2 linked regions of the Lepisosteus oculatus genome follow. The protein of the gene in region 1 interacts with the protein of each later gene in a biochemical or structural test. Links are inferred from orthologs where the notes say so. Each region holds a gene or a part of one and is shown on either strand. Other genes may lie near its edges.

Evidence for each region.
Region 2: of the proteins of claspin (region 1) and csnk1g1, one has a biochemical effect on the other in vitro, tested with the Homo sapiens proteins (2 studies listed by BioGRID). The link is inferred for Lepisosteus oculatus from reciprocal best matches to the Homo sapiens genes CLSPN and CSNK1G1.

Annotation. Positions count from the first base shown.
Region 1 is NC_090706.1:162,268-170,052, forward strand, and holds the start of claspin, read left to right. Parts: upstream 1-4,782; 5' UTR 4,783-5,239; coding exon 5,240-5,263; intron 5,264-6,190; coding exon 6,191-6,311; intron 6,312-6,529; coding exon 6,530-6,891; intron 6,892-7,380; coding exon 7,381-7,524; intron 7,525-7,772; coding exon 7,773-7,785. Other genes in the region: ago4 (protein argonaute-4), read right to left, coding at 3,477-3,495.
Region 2 is NC_090700.1:60,265,195-60,272,590, reverse strand, and holds the start of csnk1g1 (casein kinase I), read left to right. Parts: upstream 1-4,391; 5' UTR 4,392-4,570; intron 4,571-7,396.

The DNA of each region.
Region 1 (7,785 bases):
CACCCAGGTGGGGCTGCACTTCACTGATGGATGAAGTGGAACCCCTTCTATATATCAGGCGCTTTGAGAGCCACTGGAAAGAAAGGCATAACATAAACACAAATAAACTGGCACGCTAAAGCCACACTGTACTAACTCCACCTGCATCAGAAAGTCAATTCTGGAACAAGCAGTAAGACAGCAGACCCGAAGAGTGAGTGAACCACACTAGTGTTCTCCATAATGTTCAGAAGCTAAGGGTGCTAAACACAGAGACTCCATCTGTATAACAGGAAGGGGGTCCCCCAGTATTGAAAACAAAGAGAGAGACTGCTCTCCAGACCACGCAAAGGACTGGCCTAATTACTGAACAATAGCGCCCAATTACTGAATAATAATTCCCACAGCACACACCACTAGCCCACCCCCTGCAAGACAACCCAGACAAAGGGCCTGGCGCATCTGTGGGGCGAGGAACAGCCCGAGCAGATGGGCCTGGACTCACACTCTGGATTACACAGGGAGGGAGACCCGGCCCAAGAGGAGATGCAGCACCGACTGACTGTTTGCACAAAGACTCCAGACTAAGATCACTTGAAACGTTACAAACAAGAGGAGGCCATTCCACCCATCTAGAAGAGAGGAAACAGGTCAGCGTCTTCGTTCGAAAAGGGGTCCAATGGGCAGTTTGCCCAAAGTAGAAAAAAATCAGTTCTTTACCCTTAACTAAGGCAGACGAACACCGGAAGAAGCCACATTGCTAACCTGCGGTCCTGGTCTTACTGTAACAATCTACAGGTCAAAGGCCACCTGGCCTGATACTCTGGGCCCCAGCTGCCCTGAATGATCCAGGGTCTGGTTTCCCTGAACGGACGGGCAGAGAGGCAGCTCCTCTGCCTCCTGGCTCTTCCACACTTTCACCTCTCTTACAGCAGCATCTCCCTGCTCTCGGGTGGTAGTTGAGCAGCGCTTTGTCATTTACAATGCTGGTGTATAATCTACAGAAGGTTACAGTACAGAAAACTCTAGACGTGATAACATTCAAATGATAATTCTGTGGAAGCAGGACTCAAACTGGGCCAAACGTATTCCCATCCCCTATTATCCAACTCAATACTTGGCCAGTTTGATGTGCAAATCAAGAGGTGGAAGAATCAATCAAGAACAGAACAGCCAGCAAAGCAGCACAGAAGCAAGACACTTCAGACTGTGTTCATGAAGGGTTAGAACACTTCATCCTTAACTTTCAAAAGCATTCTATTCATAAATACAGCACCAACCTAATGTTATCACAGCTCATGAGTGAAAAACATCATTTATGGATTTTTAACAACATATCCATCAAAGCACGTGAATGTACCTGTGTGAAGGTACTGGTGGGAACAGGTGTTTTGCACTGAGGAGTCAATGTCTTGGCAGTGATCAGTCAATAATCAGACTGGAAAGAGGGGTTTAAGAACACCTGCAAGGCAGATGGGATTAATGACGAATTTGCGACAGGACAGAGGCCCTGCCTGCCACAAGGAAAAGACAACACCGAGAGTGAAAGAGCTGCAGGATGTCTGAGGATATCAAGAGCTCAGCAGCAACACCGCACAGGTCATAGAATAAGGCTACACAGAGCAGCCTAGCCCTGTCCTATGAACCTGTAAATCAAGGCATGTCCAGGCGGGTCAGAGAGCTCCCTGCGGATCCGTGGGGATCTACAGCCCTGGCTGGACTCGCTCTGTCCACCGGTGCGCTCCCTGTGGATCCTGGGATTCTGTCCTGGGTCTCCGCTCTCCTCTCTACACTCATTCCCCAGGTCCTCACCTCCTGTCATGGTCTTTCACACTCAACGCGAAGGACGCAGAGTTTCTCATGTTCACTATTTATATGCCTTTCACCTCCTCCTGGACTCGATGCTCTTCTTCCAGCAGACCCCATGCATCTCTTCTCTACCAGATCCCAGGCGCCAGCCTCCCTTTCCCCTCAGCCCCTCATCACCTTTGCATGAGGTGCCCTCCCTTCAGCAAGAGTTAAGCCAAAATCTACATGGGTCCCGAGGCTGTCTGTAAGGGTGTTAATCCCAAACTGGGCTCAGACAACCTAACCTCCCCACTGGTTCCCAGTTTCTCTCTGCCCCTGCTCTGCTGCGTAAGGGGGCTGCTGCTGTTCTGTGTCTACAGGGCGATGCAGCACCCCAGCTCTCCAAGACCCATTGTGATGATGCATGCTATACAGACATGGGGACTGAACTACAAGGGCTTAATTCTCAAAATAGTAATGCAACGTACCAACTGCATTTAATCACTGCAGACAAGCTGTAAGCACCCAGTAGGTGCATAAGTTACCACCCTGCATCCCCAGAGCCTGTGCAGTTTCACCCCTACGGCTGCCTTCGCCCGTCAGGAGAGGAGCAGACTGGACACGCAGCTGCACGACTGTTCCTCGTATTAACAAGTAAACTTTCCAGTTTGCCATTCACACTGAATGAAGGGGTCTGCTATATACAGGAATAATAATAATACTTCCATTGCCTGGCCCAGGAAAGAATCTTTACTCCAGAAGACAAGGGGTTACTAGTCCACAGATAGTGCCCTTCTTATGAATTACAAGCAAATCCTGAAAAAACACCGACTGTACACATTTGCAGGACACCAGAATCCCAGCCACTGCCCTTTTATGTACCACAATTCCCATGTGGGAAGCATTTTTTACCCCGGATAACTTATTTTAAAAGGTACAATAGCTTTGAGTTAAACAACAATTTAAAACACTTAAGCTATTAAATCACTTTCGTACTTATTGATACATATATTAGGTAAACTACTTTTAAAATTCTTCCTAACATTATCGGGGATTTCTACATACATCAATAAGAGGATTATTCCACGCAGAGGCACATAAACCGCACTTTCCCGTAGTTTAAACCCCACTCGGGCTTCGGTGAGGCTGCACATCCCGATACAGACACCGCAAAGACGCCGTAAACGTGCTGGTCAGCGAGCAGAGAGACCGGACTGTGCCACCGCTCCGGCCGGCAGCGAGCGACAGACACCCGACAGCTGGATCACGCAGAGCTCCGGGACAGCTGCAAGCACAGGGACCGAGGCTCCGGGCTCCACCGTGGTGGACGAAACCAGACGGACAGAGAAGCTGAAATCCGCTCTCGCAAACCGACACGAAGCTCCGCCGCCTTCGCTCTCGGACCCGCCGCAGCCCGCAGGCTGAGCACGACAACAACAACAGACGCGGAAGACGCGGAAAGGCGCTCCTGACGTTTCGCTCCAAGCGCGACCCGGGGCTGCGGCACACGGCCACACCGGACACCAGCCCTCCGTGAGGGACAGAGCCCTGCAGGCAACACCCCGTGCCGTGTGGTTAACCTCCCGACCTCGCTCTTCCTTCCGTCTTCCCGATCGCCCGCGGAGGCCTCGCAATCCCCGGCCCCCAGTGAGCGAGCGACCCGGGCCCCCCGCTCCTGCCCTGCCGGGCCTGCCAGCGCCTCTTCTCACCGGGTCCGAGCGCTTCCATGGCCGAGGGCTCTCTCTCCGTCTCTGTCCCGGCCTGGCGGCTCCGTACCGACACTGAGATTGGGGGCGGTATCGCGAAGCTGAGAGGGTCCACTCTGAGAAACTGAGGTCCGCTGTCGCCGCTCGGTTTAAAGCGGATCCGGGGAGTGCGGCAGTGCGCCTGCGCGCCGAGCGCTGCCCCTGCTGTGCGCCTGCGCCGTCCGGGGATTTAAACTGAGCGCACGGAGACGGGCAGCACAGGCGGCTGTGGACTCCCGGGGGTTTGGTTATCGACATCTATTTGGGCAGCATAGTACATGGAGAATTCGTCTCCCGTTGGATGAGGCTTTGGTTAGCCTGTCAGCGGTTTACCCGCGGTTTTTATAAATAATTCTACCAGGGAGGAAGCAGGAAGTTATCATACCGGCCGCTAGAGGGGGCAGCGCAGTTAATTGAAAGGTCTGACATCTCCGTAAACTGGCAGCATTTCAGCTCCGTTTTTACCAACGCCGTTGAAAAGCCTTGTCCCGCGCTCACAGTATCTCTTGTGCGGAGCTCTGTCAGAGCCTGGGCTGCTCAGCGTGCTGGGGTCCGGGGAGTCACAGAGGAGAAAACGCGTTTATATCGACATGCATCTGGGGAGCACAGGGAGAAAACGGAGTGTATCATGCTACAGCTTATACTTTTCATTCAGGTTCCAAAATGTGTGGGTGTCTGTGAAATCGTCACATTCGTCAGTGATCTGTATTGTTTTACTCCTGTTAACGTGGCTGTTTGCTCTGCTCTGCAACAGCCGTCCTGTAGCTGCAGCCCTGTCCCACAGCAGCTCAGGTAAAACCAGCAGGTTTATAAAGTATAATTTGCACTTCTTATTTATTTAATCCTCATTGTAATGTACAAATTAAGGGCGTCTGCCAGAAAAGATTTTTAAATTAAATTGAAAAAATATGACATGCTTTTTATTCTTATAAATTACTTTAAAACCACCGTATTGTCACGCAGTCGGTGGTCATTTAGTACAAATAGTTAAAAGTTTCAGCGCTGTTTACATTTTAATGAGGTTCAGTTTCAGGGCAACGTTGAAATCCTGTTTTGTCTCAGAGTATCCGGAATCAAAGGGGCTGAGTATTGTTTTAACAAAACTGCAATAAATATTGTGAGCTACCGTTAAGCTTACCCAATACAAAGTGAGGGGGGGGATAAAATTCACATCTATATTTTTATTTAAAATAAGGTGATTGCTTATTTTTGCTTTATTTTAGAAAGAGAATATTTTTATTTAATTCACAGTTCTTTAGCATTACTGTATTTGTGATTCCAAGAAAAACTACACAAAACCAAGCTTTCCAATCAGACCCCCGAGTGCACTGCGACTCGCTATTGGTCCCTGCTGCTGTCCGTCACTTGCGTGAGGCGTGGCTGGGAGCGTCGGCAGCCCCCGAGGTGGAATAAGTCTGCCGAGGTGGGCGGGTGCGAGGCGGGATTGACGGCCGACAGCCCAGTCAGGAGGGAGAGGAGGGGGCGAGGGGCGGGATGGCGCCCTGGGCGCGCGAGCGGTTGAAAGTCCTTTCTGAGAGAGCGCGCGGGAGGGAGAAGCAGGCGGGCAGCTACGAGTTGTTACTGTTGCGGATTAGATCTCATCTGTTTATCTGGTTTATTTTAACTGTTTAAATAGTTTGTCAAGGAGGGCGAGAAAGTGGACGTGGCCTTGCGTGCGTTTTCATGAGTCTGTGTTGTCGAGTGTAAGCGGAAAAGAGCCCGTCGCCATGAGTGCGGCCGTGTCCCAGCAGGTTTGTGCTGTTTTAGTCACGGTGGCGAAGTGTTCGTAAAGACCCGCGGTTCGTGCTCTGGGGGGGCTGTGTGCTGCTGTGCGGCTGTCCGGCCTCCGAGAGGGCTGGGTCCGGGCGGGCTGGACGGGCCGCAGCAGCACCGCCAGCGGAACCGAGCCGTCTGACCCGGGGTGTGTTCTCCGGGCCTCGGGAGGAAAGTCTGCGGTTTGTTTTGGTTGCTGAGCTTTTCGTGGCAGCGGCTCTCTGCCGCCTCGGCTGGCTCCCGGCCCGGCCGCTGGGGGGCGCGCTGCTCCGCTCTCGCGGTCCGGTGGTTCAACGTGCGAGCGGGGTTCATAGCGGGGGCTCCTGCTTCGCCACTCGGCCTGTGTCTCGGCTGGTGCGCTGCCGTTTCAGTCCGGGGTCTGCCAGGGCGGTCAGACTGTACAGGGCCCGACGCGAGTTTCTTCCGAGCAGTCGGGACCTCGGGTCTGATCATGGGCCCAGTCGCTGGGTGTTGTTAGCCCACCGAGCTGTTGCTGCAGATATGAGCTGCTCCTTCTCTGGAGTGTCGCACTGCCGGCTGGAGGCACTGTCCTCCACTCGCAGAGCTCAGAGCAGACCCCCAGGGCGGTTTCCATGGGATCACAGGGGCAGTAAGCCCATCGGCCAGATGGGAGGAATGGCTGTGCTCGATTATAACCTTTCTTGTGTAGCCGAACTCGGCTGTGTCACCGCCAGCCGGTCAGTGTTCAGGTTTCTCCAGCTGTGCGGTGTTGTAACTGTAAGCCATCCTGTTGATGTATTGCAGTGAAGTCAATCTGCAGTAAATCATGTCTAACTATAGCGATGCTCGATACAGATGCTACCCCACGTCCTCGGGACCCGTCTGTGGTGACGCTGCGCTGTGCCGTCGTGCCCGTAGGTAACGGCCACCCGTTTTCTCTCCAGGCGCCGGACGTGCTTCCCGTGGAGGAGAGCGACTCCGACAGCGGAAAGGGCAGCTGCGACCTGAGCCCCCCTGTGCCCACGGGGGGCGCCCCAGCGATGGCTGAGAGCAGCGAGGACCAAGGTCAGCGGGGCCGGGGGTATAACGCCACAGAGCTCTGAGGGCTCTGCAGTGGGGTCACTCTGAACCTCCTGAGGCTCTGCCTGCTCCGCAGGGGGGATTTGTACAGTTACCCTGTGTCTCATAACTGAGCAGTTTGACGATGGTCCGGACCGTTCGGAAGCGAGTGTCTCGTGTGCGTCGCCTCGGAAGGTCCGTGTCAAAGACGTCTTGTGTTCCAGACTCGGACGGCGAGGTGGCTGTGAAGAGGAAGCCGCGCGGCAGGACGGCCCTGAGCGACAGCGACAGCGAGGCCGAGGAGGGAGGGGGGCCGGCCGAGGCTCTTGCCCTGTCGGAGTCCAGCGAGGAGGAGAGGCAGGAGGGAGGAGGCGGGAGGACAGGACAGCGGACGAGGAGGGTGGCGCAGGCCGCCTGGGACAGTGAGGACAGCGAGGCGGAGACGGACAGGCAGGCCGGCAAGGCACAGGGAGAGTCCCCTGCTGGGGAGACGGTGAAGCGGGAGGAGAGGTCCGAGCATTGCCGGGAGAAGGACAAGAGGAGGGCAGAGGCTGCGCCGAGAGCGAAGAGGAACAGGAGGAAAGAGGTACGTACAGGGCGCAGCTGGGAAGATGCAGCCCTGGGCCTGGAAGGGCGGCGAGCACAGGTGTGCCTGCGTCAGACAGGTAGTGCTCCAGCCAGCTTTGTCCTGCTTGCCCGGTTGGCTGTCAGTGCTGTGTCAGGGGAGAGCTGCTCAGCAGACTTCATAGTTAACAAAAATATTGAATGTCTTTGGCTGTTCTGCAGTCTTAATTTATCCTGGTCCACAGAAACATTTTAAATACACTGCATGTTCTTAAATTGTCTAGTCACTGATTGTTGGACAGGTTTTTATGTTAACTTTTTGTGCTTATTTTAAAATACTTCTGAATGAGTGTCATGTGATGTGTAAGCTTATATCGGTTCTGTGACTGCACAGTTTGAATGTGGATTTAACTGGATGGGGCATCAGTGAGGTTTGGGTGGGGTGTGTGGCTGATTCGCTAAACAAGGCCAACATTAGGACAGCAACCACTTCACTCTCTCCCTAATCTAGGAGCCCACTGCTCCCCCCTCCTTTAATGACAGTGGCTGCCTCCTCAGAGACAGTGACCTGTTTGACACAGGTGTGGGGGAGGAAGAGGAGGAGTCCCTGGATGCCATCAGAGCAGCGATGAAAAACAAGGTGAAGAAGCATAAGGTGAGCAGAGGTCATGACATGGCGACTGCAGGACTCTTGTCTGCACTGCTGTGTTGGGGGAAATGAGGAGTTAAACCTCTTTTCACTTCTGCACGTTTGACTTTAGTCACAGAGTCCTTTAGTGCTGGCAAAAGTGTCTAATGCTCTTCTGTAAAGCAGGGTCCAGCATTTTATTGTCCAAGCGGGTCTCGAGCACTTTGTCTCGGCAGATTGAGGTTTGTGTACAGACGTGTTTTTCCTGTCCCCAGGAGAGAGCCGGGA
Region 2 (7,396 bases), on another chromosome or scaffold:
AGGAAAAAAACCGAAGATGACGAAAGATTAATCCAACACCATCCTTCACCTCCCTCAATTAAAACTCTACATTCTCATGCTTCTGTTTGGTGCATCTGGGATTCTTTTTCGTATTCTGGCACAGTAGATTTCTTCTGAAATCTAGGAAGATTTTAATTACAATGCTACATTATTGCTATACTGTAGTAGGGAAGCAGTCAGTCAAAAGCCAAATTACATTCATGATTTTTCTTAGATTTATTGGAATATCCTGCTTTTGAAATTGGGATGTGATCTTTTGTTGCCATCATTCTAGGACTCCCCGGTAAATGGGGTGTCTGAAAATGCGAAAGCCGAGGCAGATGGGACCTGGGATTTCATCTGCCACAGGTGGGGTTGCAGATCGAATGGGATTAAGTAGCTCAATAAAGCCGCAAGTGTCCAGGGCCTGGCTGAAGAATACAATTAAAATGCAGTGGGAAGGTTGTGGGTGTTGCTGTGAAGGAATACATCCTGAGGCAATGAAAGCAAACATTTTAAAGCATCAGCAAGCCTAATGGAACCTACGAATCGCTACAAATGAGAGAATCCTCTAGCACATCTACAATATTTCTTGGCTAATTGATCCAAGACCATCATCCAACTGCATCTCTTTAAAGAGCCATCTTATCAACTTTCAGACTCCCACAGTCCTTTTTGTAAAGTGGCCTTTGACTTCCTGTTTAAAGGCACATCCCTGCTGATTTCACTGGTACACACAATGCGTTTCTTCATGATTTCTGCTTGTGTCCCATGGTTCAAATGACACTCTTGATTTAGAAATTCCTTGGATTGACTTCATCAGTGACTTTGAATTAGGACTCTGGAACGCATTGGGTATCTTTTCTGTGGACTGATTCCAGAGCAGCAATATGATTTTTATAAGATGGTGAGAAAAATCATACATGATATTATGAATGGCATCTTAGTGTTGCGTATGGTATTTCCCCATGGCAGAGTTCTTTCTAGCACTCTCTTGACCTTTAGAATCTGGTATTTAGATGCAAGCAAAAAGAAAGCAATTATGCGTGGTGACGATTTGATAGGAGAAACATAACCTACCACACTGAAAATACTGTGACTGTTATGGTATTGTTACACAGCAGAGAAAAAAAAAACGAGTTGCAGTTATAACACATTCTTTCACTCAAACATTGTTTTGAATTGAAAGATTTCCTTTCAGTCCTAATGTTTAATTGGTAAGTGAACAACAGACATGAGTATAAATATTTATGAGTGGGATAATTATAACTTGCAAAGGTTTCACTGCTTTAATTTGGTTTAACTGTTTCTGCATGTACAATATATACACTGCATTATTGTGTGCAATTAATACATATTTTGCACTCATGGATAGAAAGTGGGAGCCCTGTGCTTTTTGTCTGTAACTACTTCTACACAGAGAAATCCATAGCAATCCTACTGTGCACATCTACATTCTTTGCTTTCTTTAACGTAGGCTCCACACATAACCCAGCAGCACATTTGACTGAAAAGCACATATTCCTCAATAACGGGCAATGAATGCACAAAGTACAGTAATTGTGACGTTTTAAGATATCATAACTGGATTATGGCGGAGCTTAATGTGCAGAGGATTAGAGGAAGGATGGACTGTTGAGGCCGAAGAAATGTGAAATGAGATCAGCTGAGGAGGTGTTCAAAGAGGATTAGGAGAGGACTCTTAATGTAGAGAAAGAAGATCTTGAATGATGTTCAGCCATTATAGTCAAAACCCTTAATTGCTGTAACATCTTTAGAGATGCTGGGCTGAACAGTGGTGTGTACAAGGATAGAACTGGAGCTGATTGAGCCTAGGAGAGCAGACAGTTATGTGCTTAAGGGCATCCTGCAGCTGGAGGAAGATTGAAGTGAATGTTAAGATTGGAGGTGATAACTGCTACACCTCTGGGGTAAGGAAATAGCCAGACATTTTACCACAGTGGGTAGAATATCTCGGCTGTATATCTTAGGACACAGGACTTTAATCTGTTGTAACCACTGCATTACTGTTGTGCTCTGCTGTTAGAATTTTGTTAATGAAATTGCGAAAATTCTGTTCCCAAATACACAAAGGCTCAATTTATATTAGGGTAGTTTTGACTTGGGAATCCTATATTCGACATATTGCCGTCAGCAGTGACCTCCAATAAAAAGTGCTATGAATTTAAATTCAGGACAATTCACCAATATTAACATGAGTATTGTGAGCATTGATTTGAATATGCTGCTAGATAAGGGATTTGCAATGAGTTAATGAAGGGATTCCTATCGGGTGCAGACCTTTTTAGACAATGGGTGAATTATTTCCACGTATTACTGCAGATCCCTGGATTCTACCACAGAGGCCACGGCTGCAGTATTGCAGCATGTTGTGTCTGTTTTGCTCCAGTGTCTTTTTTCATGGGTGGTGTAAAGGGTGTCTTAAAAAGTCAAAGTAGTTCATCAGAATAAATGAGCTGATTTGTAACTTTTCCTTTACTCCTGTAGTAAAAGTGAATGCACTGAATATTAGAAGGAACCAGATAACTTCCCATTTTTTATATGGAACATTACAGTACCTCTATCTTTTACTTAAGAGTAATTGGTACATCACTGATCATCAGAATCATCTTCTCTTCTGCCTGTGATTGCATGTCTGTCCTGTCATGGGACAAATGAAACGTTGCGCTTCATTAAAGAGAAAGTCCATGAGCATCAGAGACTGCTGCACACTTTCCTGTTACATTTATATCCTCTGTTACTCACTATAAAACAAACTAATTTATTATTCTTACCATTTCATGTCTTTGGTGAAGAAAAAGACATGTCTGCTGAGGAGATCAGCAGTACTTACTGCAACACATACTGGAGCATCAGAGGAGTTAAATATACAGTGTTTTCTGTTTTCTCTGACAGGTGTTGCACTGCATTTTGGTAACCTAATTCAGATTTATGACACTAGAGGTCTGCCCTTTCCTTTTAGCAAAGCAACCAAAGAAAGTGGTTGCAAAGGAACAAGTAATAGGTTAATTCTATGCTGAAAAGAGAAGAAAAGAAACACAATGTTTCGGCTGTGGACCCTTCTTCGGGAAGAAAGTGGTTGTTGCCAGACGCTCATTCTAAGGGTTAAAGGGCCTGAAGAGCTTGATTGTACGATTGTGTCAGTTCTAACTCTTGCTAATTGAAACGGATCATTACATTGCTTGGCTAGGCTGTGTGTGACAATGCCCAGAAGCACTGCTTCCAAGCACTGGTGTGTGGTGAGTGGACTTCGTCTGGGAGATTTTCAGGTATATCTGAACGGCTTTTAAAGACTTGCTGATGTATTACATTAACCTTATAATCTCCAAATAGATGTTCAATGGTACACCATTTATATACTGTATATATAAAAATATGCACTGTCATTTATTTATTTAGCTTGGATTATATCACTAACCTCAGACCTAAACCTCCTAGTTCCTTTCGTAGCCCTGGTGGTGATCCCTGTGGAAAAACAGGAAATCAAAGCTGGGCCCTGCCGTGAACAATGCTGGCAGCTGCCGCCGTAGAAAAACGGCAGGAAAAAATCTCTTAGGTGGAATTAATCTCAGTCACACGAGTGAGGGTAAGAAGTGTCCATGAGCGCTCTCCCTGTGCGAAAGGCAAGCAGAGCCCCACATGGTTTTGTGTGCTATTGTTTCAAGAGAAACACGCCAGCACAGGCAGCTGTCCGTGTCAGGACGATACAGAATGATCCTGCTGAGCTGAGATTTAAAAAATGGAAGGAGGTAGTAGTTCCTCGCAGAGGATATCTAGTCTGTCCTGTATATAGATTATTTATACTATACAGATATATCTGTATCCCATCATGATGCACACTTCTCAACAAAACTGCCTATTTTATTGTTTGCCTATTGCTCTTTGTCAAAATCAAAATGATTTATATTATTACTACAATGGACTGCCTTCCCTCCCAGAGTGTACCCTGTCTTGCGCCCATTGCTTGTCAGTTAAGGGAATGAATGGATGAATGTTACATATAATGAGAATCATATTATTACTATATTAAGTCATTCCTTTATATAAGTAAAATGAGTTTAAAAATAAGGTTATTGTGTTAGATGTTGGATAGTGTATTGCTTTTGTATAGTTGAATCTTCTGAAATCCTGGGCGTGCTATACTACAGTACACTTTGTTTTCTGCATTACGAAGCTGTTGGACTTGGCAGACTATCTGGTACTTGTTTCGAATGTGATCCCCCCTGTATTCAGACTAACTTGCTTCGCTTCAGACAGCACCCTGCAGCTGACAAAGACTCAAAAGCCGTCGATCCATCAGGCGGCGCTGCCGAGTTGTACTCGACTACCCGGAAGTGATTGTGTTCCTAGGCGGGTGGTGCTGGATCAGCACTTCCGGAACTGCAGGAGCCTTTCACTGCTCAGGAGACAGAGCAAAAAGGGGAAAAAAAAGCTTCAGGATAAAATACAAAAGCTTTAACACGCAGGGGTCTCAGCGCTTTCACGAGTGGCACCGATTAGGGGGATCGTGTTACTGAGTGGATCAAACCTAATCAACATCTGCGTGAAAGTAAGTCCGGATGATGATTTTCTTTCCTATCCCCCCTTTCACAGAAACAAATGACTATTATTAGCGATCTCAGTCTCGCCACTCTCCAGGAAATACATTTAATTAATGTTTCTGAAAATCGGGAGGGAGGTGGCATCGTGGACAAGTTCATACTTTGTTAAAAGATAATGCCAGTTAAAGGTGAAAGTTAAAGGAGGGCTGTTAAACATCTTTAGGTTTATCTCTTTTTCAAAAAAGACTTACCAATGAGATTATCACATTATTAATCATCCGATCGATCGAGGGGTGCTAGCAAAGCGTGTTTAGCTTTTGTCTGAAACCGTATCTTTATCTTTAAAAAAAAAATCGAATTTAATTACGAAAAGGCTATTTAAATTAGTTTGATCCGTTTAGAAGTCCAGACACGCAGTGAGGTACGTTGTGCGTACTCTCTGTTAACTGTTTGTTGAGTGTTTTTACAAAGCATTCTCTCCACTTTTGTGTTCGTGAAACCTTAAACCGTCAGATGTATCCAGAGTTCACTGTTGCCAGCAGAGCTCTACTGTTGCAGCTCTGGGCTGAGCTGTGAGCTTTGCGACGGGTGTCTCCTGCGTAGTCCGGTTCATGTTGAATTGTTGGCTTTGAGCTAGAAACAGCGCTGACACTGTAGTTGTCGGACACGATGGGTGCTTTCTTCAAGTTCCGAGTATGTGAACATACAGGATCACTTCGGGTTTCCCTTACCGGGTTCGCCACCATCGTTTCGCTGTGTGTACGGGGGCCTTTTCCTGGTCCGGAGCAAGTCCGAGCAGTACACCCGTCAGACTGCGCTGTGTGTCCGGATGAACTGAACGACACGACTGGGGTGGCAGCGCCAGGACACCCCAACCGCCTGTCGCGAGTACTGGGAAATGTCTTAACAGATCAGGGGGAAGACGCTTCCGCACGTTCCTGTGCAGCCCAAGAAGGTTTCTTTTAATGATAATTTAATCACCACGATTAAATAATCAGACTTAATTAAGAAGCTCATTAAATCTGATAATTTAATTGGCAGCTTGTAAACTGACGAAGCAGCCTCACAGAGTGTACGTGTAGGCTCGTTGGTGACCCAGTAACCATTTGTCTGCACTGCTGCTGTGCTGTTAAGGTGTTAGGATCTGGTGTGATCTTTGGCCCGTATTATGCAAAAGCATGGGAGCTCTGTGCTACTTGTATGACACTCAGCTCATCTCTCTAGTCCCATGTGTTCTGGACTGTCGCATAGTGGCTTCTGAAAGGTTTTTTTCTATTTGTACAGCCCTACCTCTAAGCTATAAGAATGAGAGTGTGTGTCACAGACCAAACACCTGTGACACACGATGTGCCCGTACGTACTCATTCGGATGTCATCTTTATTATTCCCTTAGACTGCTGATGTGTTCTGGGACCGTAAATGTTAATGAAACAGACACTAAGCCAGCACTGACCACTGTGAAGTCAGTTTTCAGAGGTTTAGGGCAAGTTTGGATAACCGTGGCGAACACACTCCCACACTCCTCGCTTGTTCTCTTCGTAGTCAACAGTATTGCAGTGCCTGGATCGGTAATAATTGAGCTTATTCATGTAAAAGCCCTAATAAAACCATGGCGGTAATGTACTGCAAAAAAAAATCAACTCATGACAGTTTGAATCGGATTATTCATAACTGTAAATAGGTCCTGTGCTCCAAGCAGTGTATATAGTTACAAGCAATCCTCCAAACAATATGTACTGAATACAAGGTTCCGATGTGAACTGTTTATTTTAAGTTTTGGTTTATATTCATTATCCTACTGATTACAACTTTTGTGTTCTATCCCCCATCCGTTTTGTATCCTGTCTTATTTTCTGTTTGACTGGCATTGCAGAGCTGCTTGTGGGGAAGTAAAATGGTTAACATGGTCACCTTATGAAAGAAAAACAAAATATGCTTTTGTAAGTAATGACCTTTGCCTTTAAGCTGTGCATATTGTATCTTGATCTGGTCTCCCCATTATTAAGCAGTCTAAAATCTGTCACAGTCAGTTTGTGAAACAGCAGTCAACATCTGAGAAATGTGTCAAGTGGCTTTTTGTAGCTTTGTGATATGTGAGCAAGTTGTAGCTCTATGTTGTATACATAGCAAATAGGTCATGGGATCTAGAAATCACTCCTTTTTGTGGCTTAAAGATTAAAAGAAAACTCCCTAGAGTGTTGTGCTTAAATACTGTGTTAACATTTGTTCCGAGCTCATGTGATTGTCTCGCCAGTTCAGAGTGGTGTCACAGTCCTAACTGTTGCCCAGTACTAGTGCAGGCTTTGGAAAAGAGATGGGAGGAATTCACAAGGCAGGATTGTGGAGACATTTGTTTGAGCTGGAAAAAAAAAGTTGACATACTGTGCCTGGAAACGGAGAGAAGTGTCTTATAGTCATCTGGTGAAGGGTTTTCTTTCGAAAATGTAAGTGCTAATTTCAAGTTCTGTACAGTGTCGTGGCTGGTAGACGACGAAATACTAATTCCACAGCGCAGATGAAAAGATCCTTACACAGCATGTACTTTTCTTGCTGTGAAATCCTCTTAGATGCTGAAGTGATTCCAAAATAGATGCATTCAAAATGTTTAAAAAGCATGCTTTGGAGATTGGATTAGTTCTTAGCTTCCCTTTAACGGCTGTGTTTTCTTTTTGGTCATGCTTTAGGGTGATGCACGCTTGTCATAAGGCACAATACAGCTGCTTTTTTTCCCCTTAGGTGCTTTTTCAAGGCAGCTACAGTTGTGCTGCCTGCAGTATAATAAGCAGCACCAAGGTCACAGTGTGAAGTGTTGAGAAAGTGATGTTTATCAGTGT